2 linked regions of the Arabidopsis thaliana genome follow. The protein of the gene in region 2 interacts with the protein of the main gene of each other region in a pairwise test. Each region holds a gene or a part of one and is shown on either strand. Other genes may lie near its edges.

Region 1 (7,392 bases), about 13 Mb from region 2:
TGGTTTTTGATTTTTATGATCTTCGACCAAATCACGTGATCTAAAACATTGACTTTGATCATTAAATCACTGCAATGCTTTCAGTTAATTTCTGACGTAGAATCATAAAGAGACGTCGTTGTGTATCTGACGACCACACAATATTTTCTGATTATTAAAAGATACACTTGTTCTACAAGTGAATTACAACATCATATAAATTTTACACATCCAGAATCTGGATCTTTTATCTATATAGCAAATTAGCAAGCACTCTTTTGAACAATGAAGCATGCATGCTTTATCTACCAAGAAAGTAACAAAGAGTATCAATCATATACAAGATAACTAGAGAGCTGAAACTAGGTAGAGAGCATTATACCTCCCATATCAGAAGCCATTAAAATCTAATCTTTGTACTTGATAGTTACCACTGAGGTTCCAGTAACAAAACGGGTACCTACCAAAATCAACTAAAAATATGAAAACCTAAACCTAATTATTTTCCGAGATTCAAGAACACTAAAAGAGAGATTTTACAATGTTCTTTGGGATTCAGCCTCATCATTCTTCGCTCCATTCCCGTTCTCAACCGGAATAATGAGCACGATTAGAGAAAGTCATAACAGATCCATGAGCAATTGGAAATTTGATCTGACTTACAGTCATCTTTTCAGAAACTCGAATGTCTTAACGATCTCATCTTCTTCTTCTTCTTCTTCTTTATAAACTCATTATGTTAAAATCTAGTCCGCTAAAGGTCATTTATAGTTAAACTTAATGTACATGCATTTGCCTAAGGGCTGCTGTTATTTTGTTATGTTCAAATCAGTTCTTCCAAATTGTCTCGTCCGGAATTAAATTAATATACTTGCAAAAAAATTTGTTATATCTTAAATTTTGGTTTTTGTTAGTTTTTTTTGGATCACTAATAATTTGTAATGTTGAATTCATTTGGCTTTTTTTATTAGTCAACAATACTTTTAGACATTATCTATTATTAACTAACATGTTTGTGTTTCAATTTAACTAATTCATTAAGGCCATAGGAAAATCGTCAAATACTAACCACACAAAATAACTATAGATACTGTACTTTGGTGTCATTAAATTCAAATTGGACTTTCATGTTACCCAAAAAATGAATCGTTTTATAATTTTTATGTTTGTTATTGCGACGTATTTTGGATTGCTTGTATCAGTTCTGTCTTGTAAACGTAACACAATTGAAATTATGAACGAGCTTGGTCCCGGTTTGGTTCTCCAGTATCATTGTCATTCAAGAGACGACAATCTAGACGTAGCAAATTTATAATTTAAGGAAATAAAACAAATCCGTTTCGGAGACAAGCTAGGAAGAAGAACAAGATGGACTTGTCTTTTGAAACACGGCTTATACATGCGATATTATAAAGAATTCATAGCATATAGAGCAGGCAACATTGACCGATGTGGTGCTCTGCGTCGTTGGGTTGTTAGAAATGATGGAATTTACCTTGTGAGGGATCGAAATCCTCAACCAAAGTTCCATCATGCATGGAATAAAACTAAGTAATGTTGATGACAATACAATTTTTTTGTTTTTGACCCAAAATGTGCCTAAATTTGTATTAGCCCCGTATAATCTCCATTAATTGATGGATTACATGAAAGCTAAATGAGATAATTTGTTGTGTTTTTTCCATTCTTCTGTATTAAAAAATAAGACAAGGCCTGAATGTTTCCATGTAGAGACAACTCGTAGGAGACAACTAAAAAAAAAGTTTGATGCCTGATCATTTATGTACGTAGCATATGATGTAAAGCACAATAAAAATGTACAAATTGTGATGTACAATGTCTTAAACCATAAAAGAAATCAGTTGAAATTCGGGAAAACTATAAAATAAAAAATTATATATGTCAAACCATTTGACTCAAATGATACATCAATCAAAATAAATTCTTGAGACAATGCCAATGCCCAACCTAAACTTCTAAATATCTAGAAAGTGTCCAGCTAGTCTACGACAAAAGACCAAAACACGTGTCCAATTTAAGCATATGGGTTCCATTCGTGCGAAAAGGACACCCTAACTTGAAAAGGAAGGTAACCAACAAGATATATTCACTATCCGCAAACCTAAAACAAGAACTCATCCAACAGCAAAACCTTTCTCATTCCATGTTCCAGCTAATTCTCTAACACATTTTACCTCCCTTGTCCTGATTTGAATGTGCTTTCAAGCTCGGAAGGTCGCGAAGGTATGCTCGTCAGAGTATTATCTCCAAAAAAACACGAATCAAGAATAAGTTGAGGAAGAGGAGTGTCGTAATCAATTCCATAGATATCTTCCGAGTCACTGCTTCGTTCTGTGGGTTTCCATTGTACAACAAGTGAGACCAACACGTTGACAACGTGATTCATGTCGGGTCTATCTCGCGGTTCCCTGGAGCTACATTGATTGGCAAGCTCAGCTACTATGTTGATGCTTCTGAGTGTCTCTTCGTTGACCTCCATTGCTTCGTCTATCGCCTTTGGGAATGAGCCTTTGTTGATAAACATTCTCCTAAACCATGTGGCAAGATGTACTTCTTCCTCAGATCGTGCAACATCAAGAGCTTTTCGACCCGTTAGTAGCTCCATGAGGATGACTCCAAAGCTGTAAACATCAACCTTTGTTGTAACTCTTCCGGTCACTGCAATGTACATAGAGATTTCAATATTTTACATTTAGTGAGTTTAGAACGAGTAGCAACATACAAAATAAGCATAAAACCATACCTGCATACTCTGGTGCAAGATAACCAAATGTTCCAGCAATCTTGGTCTCAATTGATTGTGTACCTTCTGGTGCAAGCCGGACTAAACCAAAATCAGCAACTTTAGCATGCATGTCATCTCCAAGAAGAATATTAGAAGGTTTAAGATCTCTGTGTATGAAACTTTGATGTGCTAAAGTATGCAAATACTCAACTCCTCTAGCCACATCCAATGCAATAATCAACCGTCTAGTCCACTCGAGAGGCCTCAACCCTTCTTCCTTCCAATAGAAAATATGCCTACTTAATGTCCCTTGTGGCATGTACTGATAAACAAGAAGTCTCTCATTGCCTTCTAAGCAATAACCATGAAGAACCACTAGATTTCGGTGGCGAACTCTAGTAAGAACAGCAATCTCTGATTTAAACTCATCTAAACCCTTTCCACTTATAATCGAAGATTCCATTCTCTTAACCGCAATCTTTGTTCCATCATGCAACTCTCCCTTGTAAACTATTCCAAATCCTCCTCTCCCAAGTATATTCTTCTCATCGAAATTATATGTAGCATCCCTCAAAACTTGTATTGAGATCACAATATTTCCAGCTTCTCCTAGATGAGCGTCATTACCACTGAATCCACTTTCACTAACACCAGTACACAGATTCTCAATTGTAATCTTGAACGCATCTTGGTCACTAGATTGTTGTTGAGGATGCATCTTATGATATTGCATCTTTTTCTTGACCAAAAAGAAAATAGCAACCCCTATAAGAAGCAAAGCTAACAAAATACCAATAACAGAACCAACAATTTTCCCAGCATTACTAGATGCTTTCTTTCCAGCATTGCCATTAGGACAGTCCTCAAAATTCCCAGTCGTGTTAACAATAGTTGTGTTAAAACGAGGTACTTCACCACACAACCGATTCTTCGAAACATCCAGTGTTTTCAAGTTACTCAACTTAGCGAGCTCTTGTGGAATAGTACCATTAAGATTATTCTGAGAGAGATTAATAACACGAAGAGACGCAAAATCAGCAAATCGTGGAGATATAGTGCCGTTGAGCCCCAAGTTTTTGAAGTTGATAACTGTGATATCAGTTCCAGTACAAGTGATCCCTACCCATCCACTACAAGGATCATTTCCTTTCCATTTCTCCGCAAAATTCACCGGGTAACCAAAGGCTTCAACGATTGAAAGCAACGTGTTGACACGGGGATCACAAGAAGTACCTGGAGTATCTAAGCAGAAACTATTGAGACCATTCAGATCAGGCTTAATGTCAGGAGCCGTGAAGTTTGGAGTTGGTCCTTGAAGCAAGTTATTACCTAAAGCAACATCAGAAAGAGATTGCAGCTCAAACAAAGAAGAGGGAACGAGACCCGAAAGCTGATTCTCCCTAACATTGAAACTTTTCAACGAGACTAAACCAGAAAAGTCTGGTAAAGGACCGGAGAAGCTGTTCCCTTGCAGCGTAACATTGGTCAAAGAAGTCATCTTTTGCAGAAACGAAATTGACCCATGAAGCTTCTCCCTTCCCTTTTGCCCGTTAAGCATCAGAACTTGAACACGTGAGTCGGAGAAATTCATGGGAAATTCACATACAAGCGAGTTATAAGACAGTTTCAGAGTCGTCAAACTAGAGAAATCTTTCCCCTCGAAGAGATAATCCGGGATCTTCCCGGAAAGATTGCAGTTGACAGCAGAGAAATCTACAAGGGAAGTCGCGTTTTCCAAACTCGGAGGTATCACCCAAGAATCAAAAGGATTGTTATCCAGAGAAACATGCTGAAGAGAACTCAAACCAGAGAAGAAATCCTCAGGGACAGAAGTGAAATCATTGTCATTAGCATACACAGTTACCAACGATTTCAACCCAGCAAGACTCGGTATTGGTCCTGTTAAACGGTTCCTCATGACCTCGAACTTCGTCAAAGATGTTAGCTTTCCGAGATCAGGAGGTAGCTTTCCTGAGATTCCTCTGTCCCCGATTTGGATCGCGGTGACCCGATTGCTTGCGTCGCATTTTATGAACATAGACCACTTACAAGGATCCGACCCGGACCAGTTTGGATTTCCAGATAGCTTCAAGGAGTCTCTCAGAGCTATCATGACCGCCTCATCAGGGCTCGATTCAACGTTCACCAAGGCAATGAAACAGAGCAAAAGGAGGAAGTTTTTTGCGATCATTATCTTTTTTTTTCAACTGAGAAACAAACGCAGGGAGGCGTTGATTCACAGACAGTGATAGATTAGGGCTTAAAGACTTCAAAGGAAGAAACTTTTTGGGCGGAGATTTTCTTCTTCTTCTTGAATTGAATGAGAAAGGAAAAAACGAAACGGCAGATTTTATTGCTTTTTTTGGAAATATTAAATTGACTTGAGCGAGGGAAGTGCTTTTATTGTTATTTCCCATTTCTTGGTTTTGTTAATAAATGATTTGTTTCCTTTTCATCTGACCAAGGAAAGAATGTTAAAGGACGCAATCTTTCTGTATTTACAGGCCCAGATATATAAAAATCATAGATTTTAAGGCCCAGTATTATTTTCTTTTTTCTTTTGTGTAACTAGGCCCAGTATCTTATTTTAGTTTCTTTATTTGCTGAAATAGCATTTTAACAAAATGCATTTGCACTGTTCGTAAATCTACATTTCTTTATTATATTTTCTTTTTTGTATTTTTTTTTACTGAGATTTGTTTCTTTTTAAAAATAATGAAAATTCCAAAACTCTCATTTATTTATTTTGGAACGGTTTTATAGTTTTAGGCTTTTAGCATTATAAAATTGAATACAACTGAAATATATATGATTATAATAAACTAAAAAGAAACTTACTTTTATTGATAGTAAATTATAATTGTCAAATATCATATATTTTTTCTCATTGGAAGTTCTATAATCATTTGGACCAGTCCTACCATTTAACGGTGGTGTTTTTGATAAACTGAGGAAAATTACTGTTAGGAAAAACTTTAAAAGTAAGGGTTATCATGATCAAGTTCGTAGCAAATGACAAATTCGATATTCAATAACACAGAGCTATTCTAGCAACCAAACTGAGGTCTTACATCTATGCATATTATTGAGTCAAATAATTAGATGATTATCCTCTTTGTTTGCTCCTTTTTTTATTACTTTATTTTTAGGTCAAGTTTGAAGTTGGGTACTCACAAAAATACCTTTTTTTTTTGTCATCTGGATTATATTAGAAAATTAAAAGTTTCAGAATATGAAACCACCGATTACAAGGCTAAACTAAACCAAAGTGAAGCGAACAAGTTAGCCTACCACAAGACCCAACTCCAACATATTCAAAAGTGGTCTAAACAAAAAAGAATAAGCTCTGAACCATCGAGCACCACATAAGCCAAACCCTCCATATACAAACCATTGATCTCAAACACTGAGCATCAACACCAAAACGACTTCTCACTATCAAACAGAATACAAACCTCTTTCTTCAACAAACACACCATTCATCCAATAAGGATGCCCCACAGCCACATAGGATTGAGACCGAGACGCCTCCGTAACACTTTGGGCGATGAGGTTTGCTCCTCTGTTTGCAGCAGAAAATTCCAATTCCACCTTCCACACCAAAAAAGGTAACTATGATCTATTTAAAGCCACACTCTGAGCTTTAAAAGAAGGCCACGCCCTTGGTCTCAACACTGCACCAATCAGAGACTTATCTTGAAAGGCAAAGATAATATTATCAATTTTATGACTGGCCATACTCTCCATAGCCCATAGGAGACATCTGAGCAAAGCATCAGCCTTGCTAGAGATAGGAGCAAAAGAACGTCTACTGTGTAACAACACTATACCATCCTGATCTCTTAAAACCCAAGCCCCTCCAGCAAAATTGTTTCTTTTTTACCAAGAAGCCCCAATGTTACATTTAACCCAATTCGCTGGAGGTTTAATCCATAAATTCTCCGATACACTGCCTACAAAATGAACACCATTACTCAGGGGAGGATTAAGGGCAGAACCCTCACCATCTAAGCATTGAGCTTCAAACCATTCCACCACATCATCCCTAATCTTTATCACTGTATCAGTAGCTGGGTAGCTTATCCCCTCAAAGATGAAAGAGTTCCTATTTTTCCAAATCCTCCACAAAATCCATGGAAAAATTTTCCTGAGGTTAATAGGCCATTCTTTATTATCTTTGTTCTCCAAGAGATGATTGATGTTGGAATAAATAGAGCCGTTACTAAAACCATCAGGAGGAAAAGGATAATCAGAAAGAGCCCAAATTTGTCTAGAGAGTGGGCATAGAAACAAGGTATGATTCGTCGATTCCCCAAGCTCACCACAGACCTGACATGTGGTATCAACGACATTCCTCTACCATTCAAGTTCTCGGCAACCGGAAGAATACCACTAAGCACCTTCCAAAGAAAAATCTTAATCTTTGGATCAGTCTGAAGGTTCCACACCTGAGTTTTCAACCCTAGAGTAGAAGGCTGCATAGAGACTTCGCTTCTCAGATTTTGGCTCTTTGTTTGATAAGCTAACCAATAGGCAGACTTGACAGAAAAATCTCCACTTTTATTTAACTTCCAAACGAAAAAATCTGCTTGAGATATCACTGGTTTAATAGCTTTAATTCTGAGAATGTCTTCTGGCAGGAATAAGTCATGAAGAACCTCTTCATC
Region 2 (9,919 bases):
AATTATACAAATTAATTTCTTTTCATTATGGTAATTTGCTTTCAACAGTTTAAGATTATTGTTAGACTTTTAAACAAAAATATTTTATTAGATATTTTCATGAATCCATTACACATCTACATATACATTTTTGCAACCACTTTGTGAAATAAATCCTCAAGTTGAGACTTATTTACAGTGTCTGTCACTAACATTTAATAATTGTTTTTGATAATTAGAAAGTAAATCTTCGAATTAAATATTTGACATTTAACTATCTTCCCAAAATCTCTCTACATTAACTACACGATTAGTTACTAAAATAAAACTTCCAAAATATTTAACCTCATTTAAAAATTACAAAATTATCATTTTTTATATTGCTTTTTTGCATAACTATAACAATTCGATTATAAGCATCAAACCGTTAAGATATTTGATATCAGTTAATTACTACAAAATTACAAAATATTTAGACAATAATTCATAAACATACCATAAATAAAATCAACATTAATAAAATAAATAAGTATTTTTACGTGACGGGTTGGCGGGACGGATTTGGCAGGACGTTACTTAATAACAATTGTAAATTATAAAATAAAAATATTTTATAGATAGATACAAGTTGCAAATTTTTCTATATATTAACTTTAAAAAAATATATTATCCCCGCGGTATACCGCGGGTTAAAATCTAGTGAGTTACAATATGGGTTAAATGGAAATAAATATTCTTATTTTTTAATATAATAAATGAAATGTCAAGCAATTGTTATTATTAGAACTCCAACCAGATAAGCTAATGAAATAAAATTCCAATTGTTTTGTTTTATTATTTAGCATAAGTATAGTTTTATTTATTTTTAACTTCATATTATGGAAAAAGTAGGGAAAATATATCTCTAAGTTAAATATTAAGCTTTTTGTAAATTGAAACCATAATTTTTTTATATAATTAATTTAAGATTATGTAACAATTGTTATTAGTTAAACTCCAAACAAATCAGCCAATAAAATTAAAAATTCTCAAATTTTATTAGATAACATGTGTCAACATCTCGCTTTTTTTGTTTTTCCTCGGTAAAATCATCATCTCTGCTTTTTCACCACTTACTTCCCTGATCTTATGTATATAAATCCTATCTGCTAGGAACTCACAATATCCTACTTCTTCCACCTTTCGTACGACATAATTTCCATAGATGAACAACTGAAAAATGGCCATCTCATCAAAGAGATTGATAGTTTTAGTTTCTCATACTCTGAGCTCTATAAAGAAGTTCCATTTCTTCTTGCAGTAACTATAAGATGTACATTTTTATCTTGGCAACAAGACTGTACATGTTTCCCCCATATAATTTGTATAGGAATTTTCATTGAAGAAATTATCAAATATCCCAGAAAAACTTACATCTACTTTTCTTCAAGTGAGTGAAAGTATTCCCAGTAACATTGGTTTTGCAGCTGAGCATGCCTACGAGAGAACTCTTGTGCTTAATGCACTGATTTGTTGGAGACTTTGTGATTGAACCAACACATAGGCACTTCACTAGTAAAAACATCTGTCTAGTTCCGTTTGTGAAGTTCGATCTTCTTTGGAGAAAGATGCTCAGGACTTAGTGTCATGTTCTTGACCAGATTCATTGCCTTGGAATCCCCATAACTCTTTAGCTATCGCATCCCCCTCCTCTGAAAAATATAAATCTCATTAGTCTCTAATCAAGTGATATCTATAATCATACACAAACAGTGATATAAACTCGAAACCTGGCTTCAATTTTTCAGGATCTGGTAACTCCTGCTTTTTGAAAGGATTACTACATTCAGCTTTACTCGATGATTTCTGAGAGTGTAATGGTATCTGCGAGTATACATTATGCAATTTTTTATGTAACTCTTCCATCTTTCCTGATATTTCATCAGCTCTGTCCATATCTATGAGAACCTGAAAAGAAACACATCAATCAAGCACCGAGAAGACGCATAAACTGCAGTAGGAACATCAAAGGTTTTGGTTACATTTAATATACCTGGGCAGGATTTTTGTTGAAAATGGGCGCAAACCTCTGCCGACAATACTCACTAAAAAGTAACGTGAGAAGAATTAACGGTATGGTGAAACCCGAAGCAACTGTTGATAGCTTTAATCCGAAAAACCCCAAAGCTATAATCTGTGTCAAGATCAGTGAAAAGATTGTTGTGTTGTGGAAAATAGGCCAGTATTGTCCACCGCTTTCGTACTTCGTAATATACACGTTGAGTATCTGCAAATAGAAACAATTCTGTTGAGCATCTACAAAGGGTTGTCTTTAAAAATATATATCAAGAGTTCTTTTTACTCAATGCATGAGCTTGGCACTACTAATGGCTCTTATCACATTGTACATGACTATAAACATTGCAGAAGCAAAATTCCGAAAAGCACAAATCCAATTTCCATCTAAAACATGCAGGTCACAAAGTAACTAAGCTTTCACAAATTAGGTACAAGTCCATTATGATGCTTTTGGAGAGATTAACTGTGATATTATGTACAAGAGATCAGAGAACACACTTACTTGATTTTTGTATATGAGATATGCAAGGAAAAAGTATATCAGCAAAAACGGCAGTATCAGTGGTGCTATGACTGAATTGGTGAAACCCAGGAGCCCAAACAAAAGCAGCCGAGGAATTTCGGTGTGGTATGGGAACCTAAGTGTTTCATATGACTCATCCTCGTTCTTGGTAACAACTTTTGCTACCAGATTCCAGATAAGAGCCATAGGCTGCATTATTTCACAAGCCAAACTGGCCCAACCAGATGTGAAACAATAGGTCATGAAGAAGCCAGCCTGCATACATGGTTAAAGCCATATTCAAAATCAATGATACAATTTTCATTTTTCCTAATAAATATGAAACACAAGCAACCAGAAAAGCTCAATCCCAAATAATTCCTCCAATGGGCTTTAATATCTCTGATATATAATTTTATCATGGAACGAGGAAAAAGAACAAACTATTAAAGTTCCAGCGCAAGAAAACACTATATCCAATCCGAAAGCTGCAAGATCTTGGCAAAATGTAACCTAGCTAATGTTCAGAGACTGTAGAAACCTGAACATTAGCAAAATTCAAACTTTTGCTCTGAAATGTAAAAGGACTATGGGTAAATTACCTGTGTTGGCACTGCTCTAGCAAGTTGTGCAGGTATGTCTCTGACACTAGAAAAGACATTCAGTTGCCTGATAACAGACCCTGATAATATATTCACGAAGAACACATTCCAAATGGTAAAATATAAGACTTTGATGCAAGCACTCTTCTTCCTTATACTCCGTGAAATACATCCCTCCAAGGCCGAAAAATACATCATCAATGGTGGAACGGCATAGAAAAATAGAATCAAGATCACACTGGGTAAGTACCCTGTGATGACCTGGTTTATAAAGTTCCTGCAAAATGGTTTTGGTGGCCCGATTAACTTGAAAGATGATAAAACAAATCAAGAACATAAATTTTGATTTCTCCAATGGTTTGAAAGCTATAGAGAAGGCTCGTGTGTTCTATACTGCACCGGAGTTCCGCCTACTTTTTAACGCCAATTCTAATATCATGTCCAGAAGAAACAAAACCATATATATATACATGCGTAAGGAACCAGCAGGGCACTCACTTGCTCAAGATGCCTCTTAGAAAAGGAAATGCGTGAGACAGCTGCACTAGTTGAGTCAGCCCTTGAATGAAGGTAACGGGAATAAGAAACACAAACATGAAAGCAACTGCACCAACAAGGGTTGCTATTTTCCGTATCCAAAGTTGTCGATAAGGAATGTTGAGATTCTTCCAGTACACATCATGAGGTTCTGGGGCTAAGTCTGTCACCCATAACATAGGATTTGATGATTGTAGAACCTCCGAAACAACAAGAGCATCATAGCGAGTCTTAAAAAACACAAAAGCAGCTGAACGTTCCTGCAAAACGCAGAAAATTTTGTGGCTTTAGTAAGCTATTCTATATTGTGACTAATTAAAATCAAGCATTGCTACTTCTAATCGCTACCACAAAAGTGAAAAATCTTAGTTAACTATACTGAATTGTCGAATATGGTGCTACAAATCATTAATGATGGTTTAAAACTGTACCGAGTAAACAAAACTATACAAGTCTATGCAGTATCAGACAATCAGACTGCCACTTCCAAAGTTCAATTTGTATCCCATTAAAGTAAAAGAAGTCTTTATCTGTCAGGACCAGGTGAAAAACTGAGAAGAAATGCAGTGGAAACTTCTAAATCAGTTTGTAATGTTAGTTGAAACGATCCTCTCCACTGGACAGAAGAAATAACAGATATCCACATCCTATGCCTAGATCAGGGAAAGACAGAAGAATTCCTTACTTGCTCTGTCGTAGTCGTAGTCATAGTCAACTCACCAAGCTCCATTCCTTTCACACTGTCTGCCTCATTCGATAGGATATGAAAAGAACTTGTGGCTGTAGGTCCTCCACAAAAGGTGCATGGCCTTAAACTCGGTTTACAATTGATTTCAGGAGAAACGTGTTTTAGAGTCTGGCACATCCTCTCCGCATCACGCTGAGACAGAAATTGGAATAATCTAAACGTCACACTTTTTATCTGACATAGAACATTAAATTTCAAATACTTTATCACAAGCACAAACCATCCACATATCATTTACCCAATTTCTACAACATGCTGACAGGTAATAAATGAGAAACTGATGTAGTGATACTGAAATAACCACAGTATCAGAAAGCAGTAGAATGAAAGCCCAGCAGTAGGATACAGACAGAGTTGCTCTAGAAGGTCCTTTCATATTCCCAGAATATGCATCTAAACTGTACCCCTTTTAGCTGATACACGAACTAAATTTCATTATTATATCTACTGTGCTATGTAATATCATCAATCTCTGCATCTAGTCATCAAATAACCCTTTATAACATCCAAGCAGCACATAACAATTCAGAACCATGAAATTTACACCAACTACGAAAGCTATCAACCAAAATGAATACTGCAATAAGAAGTAACACTTAAAGCTGGCAAAATGTTCAAAACTTCAAATCATTTTCACAAAGAGCAATAACAGTTTTTTAAAATAAATCTAGGTGACGGTTTTAATCTGACAAGTAAAGCAAGAGGAAGGTGGCCTGCGTAATAGTTTAGTTAAAAATGACTGTTCCAAGAAATATACGTACCAGCAGTCTCTGAATGATGCCATTATGGTAGACCATTTGGTGGGACACGTAGCTGGACGAGTAGTAGTTTGTGAAGAATTTGCTCAGCGTGTCGCTGTAAGATTGCTCAGGAGACCATGGAATAGCACGGATAAGAACGGTAAATTGACTTGGCTTTGAGGCACATCCAGTAATATGCCCAAGCCTCATTTTAGCTATGGTGCTATACTCCTACAGTATAAAAAAAATGTCAAAAGGTTGGGAAATAAACTAATAAGAAGATACATGGAGGAACCAAGAGTAAGTATTCAAGTATGCTGTATGCATGAGATAAACTAAGGTACGAGGTCCTCACAAAGTAGAGCAGAAGACATGCCGCTGAGGTTATAATGTACAGTGCAAGACAATGAACCCACAGCCTGAGAGCAATAAATGTAATGAGAAAAAATCAGCACTTTACACACTCTGCATAGAGTAACATCTTTCAAAGAGACATAGGTAGAGATAAAAAAAAACATTTACCATTTTGAGCCTTCTTTAAGATTTTCAATTGTAAACACTTCGGATGACTCCAAATGGATTTCCTTATGCACCATCGGTTGCCCATAATAATTAACAGGCAGCACAAAGGCAATGCAAATAACAGCAACTATAAAGAAAATACGAATGCTGCAGAACAAAAAACACAAAGTAAAACAAACACTACAGAACAAAACCAAGAAGCAGAACAAAGAAAAAGCATCTGGGAGAGTTTATTTTCAGTAACCTGAAAATGACCATCCTAAGGAAGACGACAGCATCAAGACCAGCAGCAGCTAATAACTCGTCTTCACTAGTCTCCCATGCTTTCACAAGCCAACTTGGAGACGGCACAAACCTCTCATACCAAAAAGGATCATAACGTCTAGCACCACCACAAACAAGCCTTCGGCCAAAATATACACAGTAATTGGCTGGCTGTTTCCTAAGTATGGAGTAAAGTGATAAAAGAACTATGCATATCGAAATATTAATTCCAGCAGATGTAAGAAGAGCTGATATCTCCATCTTAATCTTAGTTCAACTCCTTCCTGACTAAAAATCGCAGGAAGAGAAGAACTTCATAAGTACGTCGTCTCGTCACAAGATGGCCAACCTAGCAATACAGGAGGTTCTTAGATTGGCAGGAGAAACTGTAAGAAAACATCACAAAAAGAAAAAAGATAAGAACATCGAAATAACAAAAGTCCTGAAATCCAATGCTTAAAAAAACAGATAGGCTAACGAAACACCGCGAAAGAGACTGATAAACAATCGTCGATCAAACGTGTAAGTTGAATCCAAACTATCTTAACACTAACCAAAACTTTCTGCATTTGCATTGCAGATACGAAAAATTGGAAACATGAATCAAATCATAATCAGTACCTAAACTTGCAGAGGAAGATAAGTTGGTTACATACGACCCAAAGATAACAAACAACATAATGCACTGAGATTCAATTTCAAGTTATCAATTTCTGTTTTCCGTTAATCAAAATTACGATTCGCAATTTCAATGGTGCCTAAACAATAAAGTAGAACTACGATAGATGAAAACGCGGAAACGTAGAACAAACAATGAATCAGAGAATCGCATTCCACTAAATCCAGTGAAACAAACACAATTTCGATTCCCAGGGAAATCAATCGAAGCAAAATCATCAAATCCAATTCGTCAGAAAAATTACAGATACAACACGAAGTTGTATAACAGAATAAACCAAATCGAAGAGATTTCAGAAAAAAAAAAAAAAACATGACTTACAGAGAGAAATACCAAAAACTTTGGTTTGACTTCAGAGAATTCGATTGCGAAGAGAACCAGAAGATTCAGAAACCCTAAGAATTCGCAGAGAAGAGAAGAGAAAAAAAAAAAAATGAAACACCGAATTGCTTTTAAAATTCCAATTCCGCGAAGAGTTCGCATTTCCAGTTCATTCAAATCATAACTTAAAATGAAAACATGCAAATAATTAAAATTAAATACAAATGATTAGGCCACGTTGTGTGGCCGGTGAAGAAGGGAGCGACGATTAGGCCACGTGTCGGTTATAAAATGGTTGATGCTCCAAGATTTGATACTATGTGAGAGCGACTACTCTGTGGTCGAATTTATTATGACCGTTGGTTTTGTGATAGAATGGGTAAGATAGCGACACGTGTGGGTGCGTTTTTTTTCACAACGTTCGCTCAAGTGTTAGTTAAAACTGTTATGACTATTGAAAAATTAAAGGAAAGGTGAAGAAGGAATCATGGATTTTGGATTCATGTGTTTCTTGTTGCAAGTGAGATATGCATGAGTATGACATAAAAGTTTTATTCAATATAGTACTACTAGGCCTGGACATTCGGTTAACCATTCGGTTTCGGTTCGGTTGCGCATGGTTTCGGTTATTTCGGTTATAGTAATATAAGAACCATTTTGGATATTTGAGGAATTTTGGTTCGGTTCGATTCGGATATCTTTCGGTTCGGTTCGGTTCGGATATTAAACTTGGTAACCATAAATAAACCAAAACCGAAATAACCGACTAAAAACCGAAACAAAAAAAAAAAATTGACCAATAACCGATATAGAACGTACGTAAAAAAAGATATATTCACAACTCACAAAGATGCAAATATGGTCCATACTCTCCATAATATTAAAATACCTGATTCACAACTCACAAAATTCAACTTGCAAACTAATAAAGAGAAGAACATAGTTAAGTGTCAATACATACAATATATGTGATATATTATCTATCATACATATATGCTTTGGTTATCCTTTGGTTATCGGTTACTAACCTAACCAAAACCGAAACCGAAATCTAAAACATATAATATCCAGCCGGTTATTTTAAGCTATCCAAACCCGAACCGAACCATGTTTTTCGGTTCGGCTCGGTTCGGTTAATCGGTTAGCGGTTCTTTTGCCCAGGCCTAAGTACTGTAGAATAGTTTTTTTTTTTTTTTCTTATGAAAGTAACATATGTATACTATTTTGGGTATTATTATACTAGTATGTTACAAAAGGAATAAAATAGTCTAAAACGTATAAAATTCCACTATTTGATTGTATATTTTTCCGTTGAAAATATTTATCTTTATCCCACCAAATATTATTATAGAAAAAGAATGAATATTTAAAATTTAAGATATGAATACATAGTGAGACATGAATTAAGATGAAAAAAAATTTGAAACAAAAAGATACAATTTTCTTTGATTCCTCAACATCAATAGACTTTGCTCAAATATTTATCGAGTAAATTGTCGACGATAACTTGATAAGCTCTTTCAGATGGATGATAGCTATCCCAAAATATGTATGATGAAGAATTAGAACACGTAAATGGGTTCAATGAGTTACATAAATAGGATATTGTGAGCAGTCCTTTACCGCAACATCCTTTATCGGCTACGTCAAAACCTAAAAGAAATGAGATAATTGGAATAAAATTTAGTTCGACAATAAAAATGAATTATAATATATAGTTTCTATATAGATAAATCTGTTAGATGAACTTACCGTATTTTTTAGGGTGTTGGATCATGTCAAAAAGAGTATCATAAACATTAATGTAAAGGATAACACCATCCAACTCTTTATCTAAAGAATCTAATGCTGGAGAAAGTCTTGCGTTGAATTGTTTTGCCATGTTGTTTAGAGGTTCATTACATCCTCTTGTAAAAAAACCTCCAAAAACTGTTCTTTGTAATGGAACACAACCAACGGGGACTGCACTAAACACTCCAATTTTTCGAGCTCCAAGCTTATGTAATTCCTAATTATCAGTTATAGATAAGATAAAATAGTTAGTGGATATAACAATATATTATTGATTAGTTTATGTATTATTATATATAACTACGAATAAAATACTTACTCTCACGAAATGGACAGCAGAGTCAGCCAAGAAATTGGCATAAGAGGTACGGTCATATCTATGAGCTTGAGCTAAATAAGTGTGAGCAAGGTCATTGCTACTAGACACCACAAGAAAGAAACTATGTTCCAAGATATCTTTGGCTTTTTCTTCTCCGAAATGCCTCTTGATCTTTGATATATATTCTTTGAAATATATGAGTTGATCCCATACCGATATCACTGACTACAAAAATAAACATAAATGTAACAAAAAGGAATCACCCATAAAAACAACTAACAGTCGTGATGGAAAAACATAAGATATATGGTACCATAATTTTTGCTGTCAATGGATCATAACCAGTTCCTCGAGATGCAAATGTTACACCTTTAAGAAGATCCTCAGGCTTCAAATATGAATTCATATATGCTGGTAATGTCTTAGCCAATCCCAACTTTTCCGCTGAAATATTTGATAACATATTTATCAGATTATATATATAAATAGATATGATTTATAATTTTGAAAAATATAAAAGTTAATTCAAATAGTTACCAATAAGATCAGAAGGAACTCTTCCATCAGAAAATCTTCCAGTGGCGTCGCCTCCAGGATAATCTTTACCATATGGAGGAAAGTTACATTTAAGAAGAGTCGGAAGATTATTGTTATTTCCTGTATCCATTATTGAATCTCCAAAAACTATTAGCGCTGGGATCGTTGCGTTTATCCCTTGCTTGACTGCATTCGCTTCAACAGCGATTAAAACCAAAGCAAGCAATAGAATTTGAAGCTTCATCTTCTTCTTTAGTTTGTAACTTTTCTGCTCGAGATTGGCTTGCGTTTTACATTCAAAGACATGTGCACATATATAC

What was found. Proteins that work in one complex are often made in the same cells at the same time.
Region 1: the proteins of RXW8 (region 2) and AT1G24650 interact in a protein complementation assay, tested with the Arabidopsis thaliana proteins (one large-scale study listed by BioGRID).

What each region holds. Positions count from the first base shown.
Region 1 is NC_003070.9:8,732,094-8,739,485, reverse strand, and holds AT1G24650 (Leucine-rich repeat protein kinase family protein), read right to left. Parts: upstream 4,917-7,392; coding exon 2,744-4,916; intron 2,659-2,743; coding exon 2,171-2,658; downstream 1-2,170. UniProt on the Arabidopsis thaliana protein: Involved in auxin signal transduction and cell expansion and proliferation regulation.
Region 2 is NC_003070.9:21,729,837-21,739,755, reverse strand, and holds RXW8 (GDSL-like lipase/acylhydrolase superfamily protein), read right to left. Parts: upstream 7,191-9,919; 5' UTR 6,953-7,190; intron 6,339-6,952; exon of another isoform or gene 6,302-6,338; 5' UTR 6,214-6,301; coding exon 5,933-6,213; exon of another isoform or gene 5,836-5,932; coding exon 5,689-5,835; intron 5,586-5,688; coding exon 5,522-5,585; intron 5,398-5,521; coding exon 5,188-5,397; intron 4,559-5,187; coding exon 4,364-4,558; intron 3,939-4,363; coding exon 3,640-3,938; intron 3,419-3,639; coding exon 3,142-3,418; intron 2,816-3,141; coding exon 2,540-2,815; intron 2,246-2,539; coding exon 2,012-2,245; intron 1,927-2,011; coding exon 1,749-1,926; intron 1,671-1,748; coding exon 1,591-1,670; 3' UTR 1,006-1,590; downstream 1-1,005. Other genes in the region: AT1G58525 (GDSL-like lipase/acylhydrolase superfamily protein), read right to left, coding at 8,412-8,584, 8,705-8,960, 9,063-9,287, 9,376-9,506, 9,600-9,843. UniProt on the Arabidopsis thaliana protein: Acts as an osmosensitive calcium-permeable cation channel.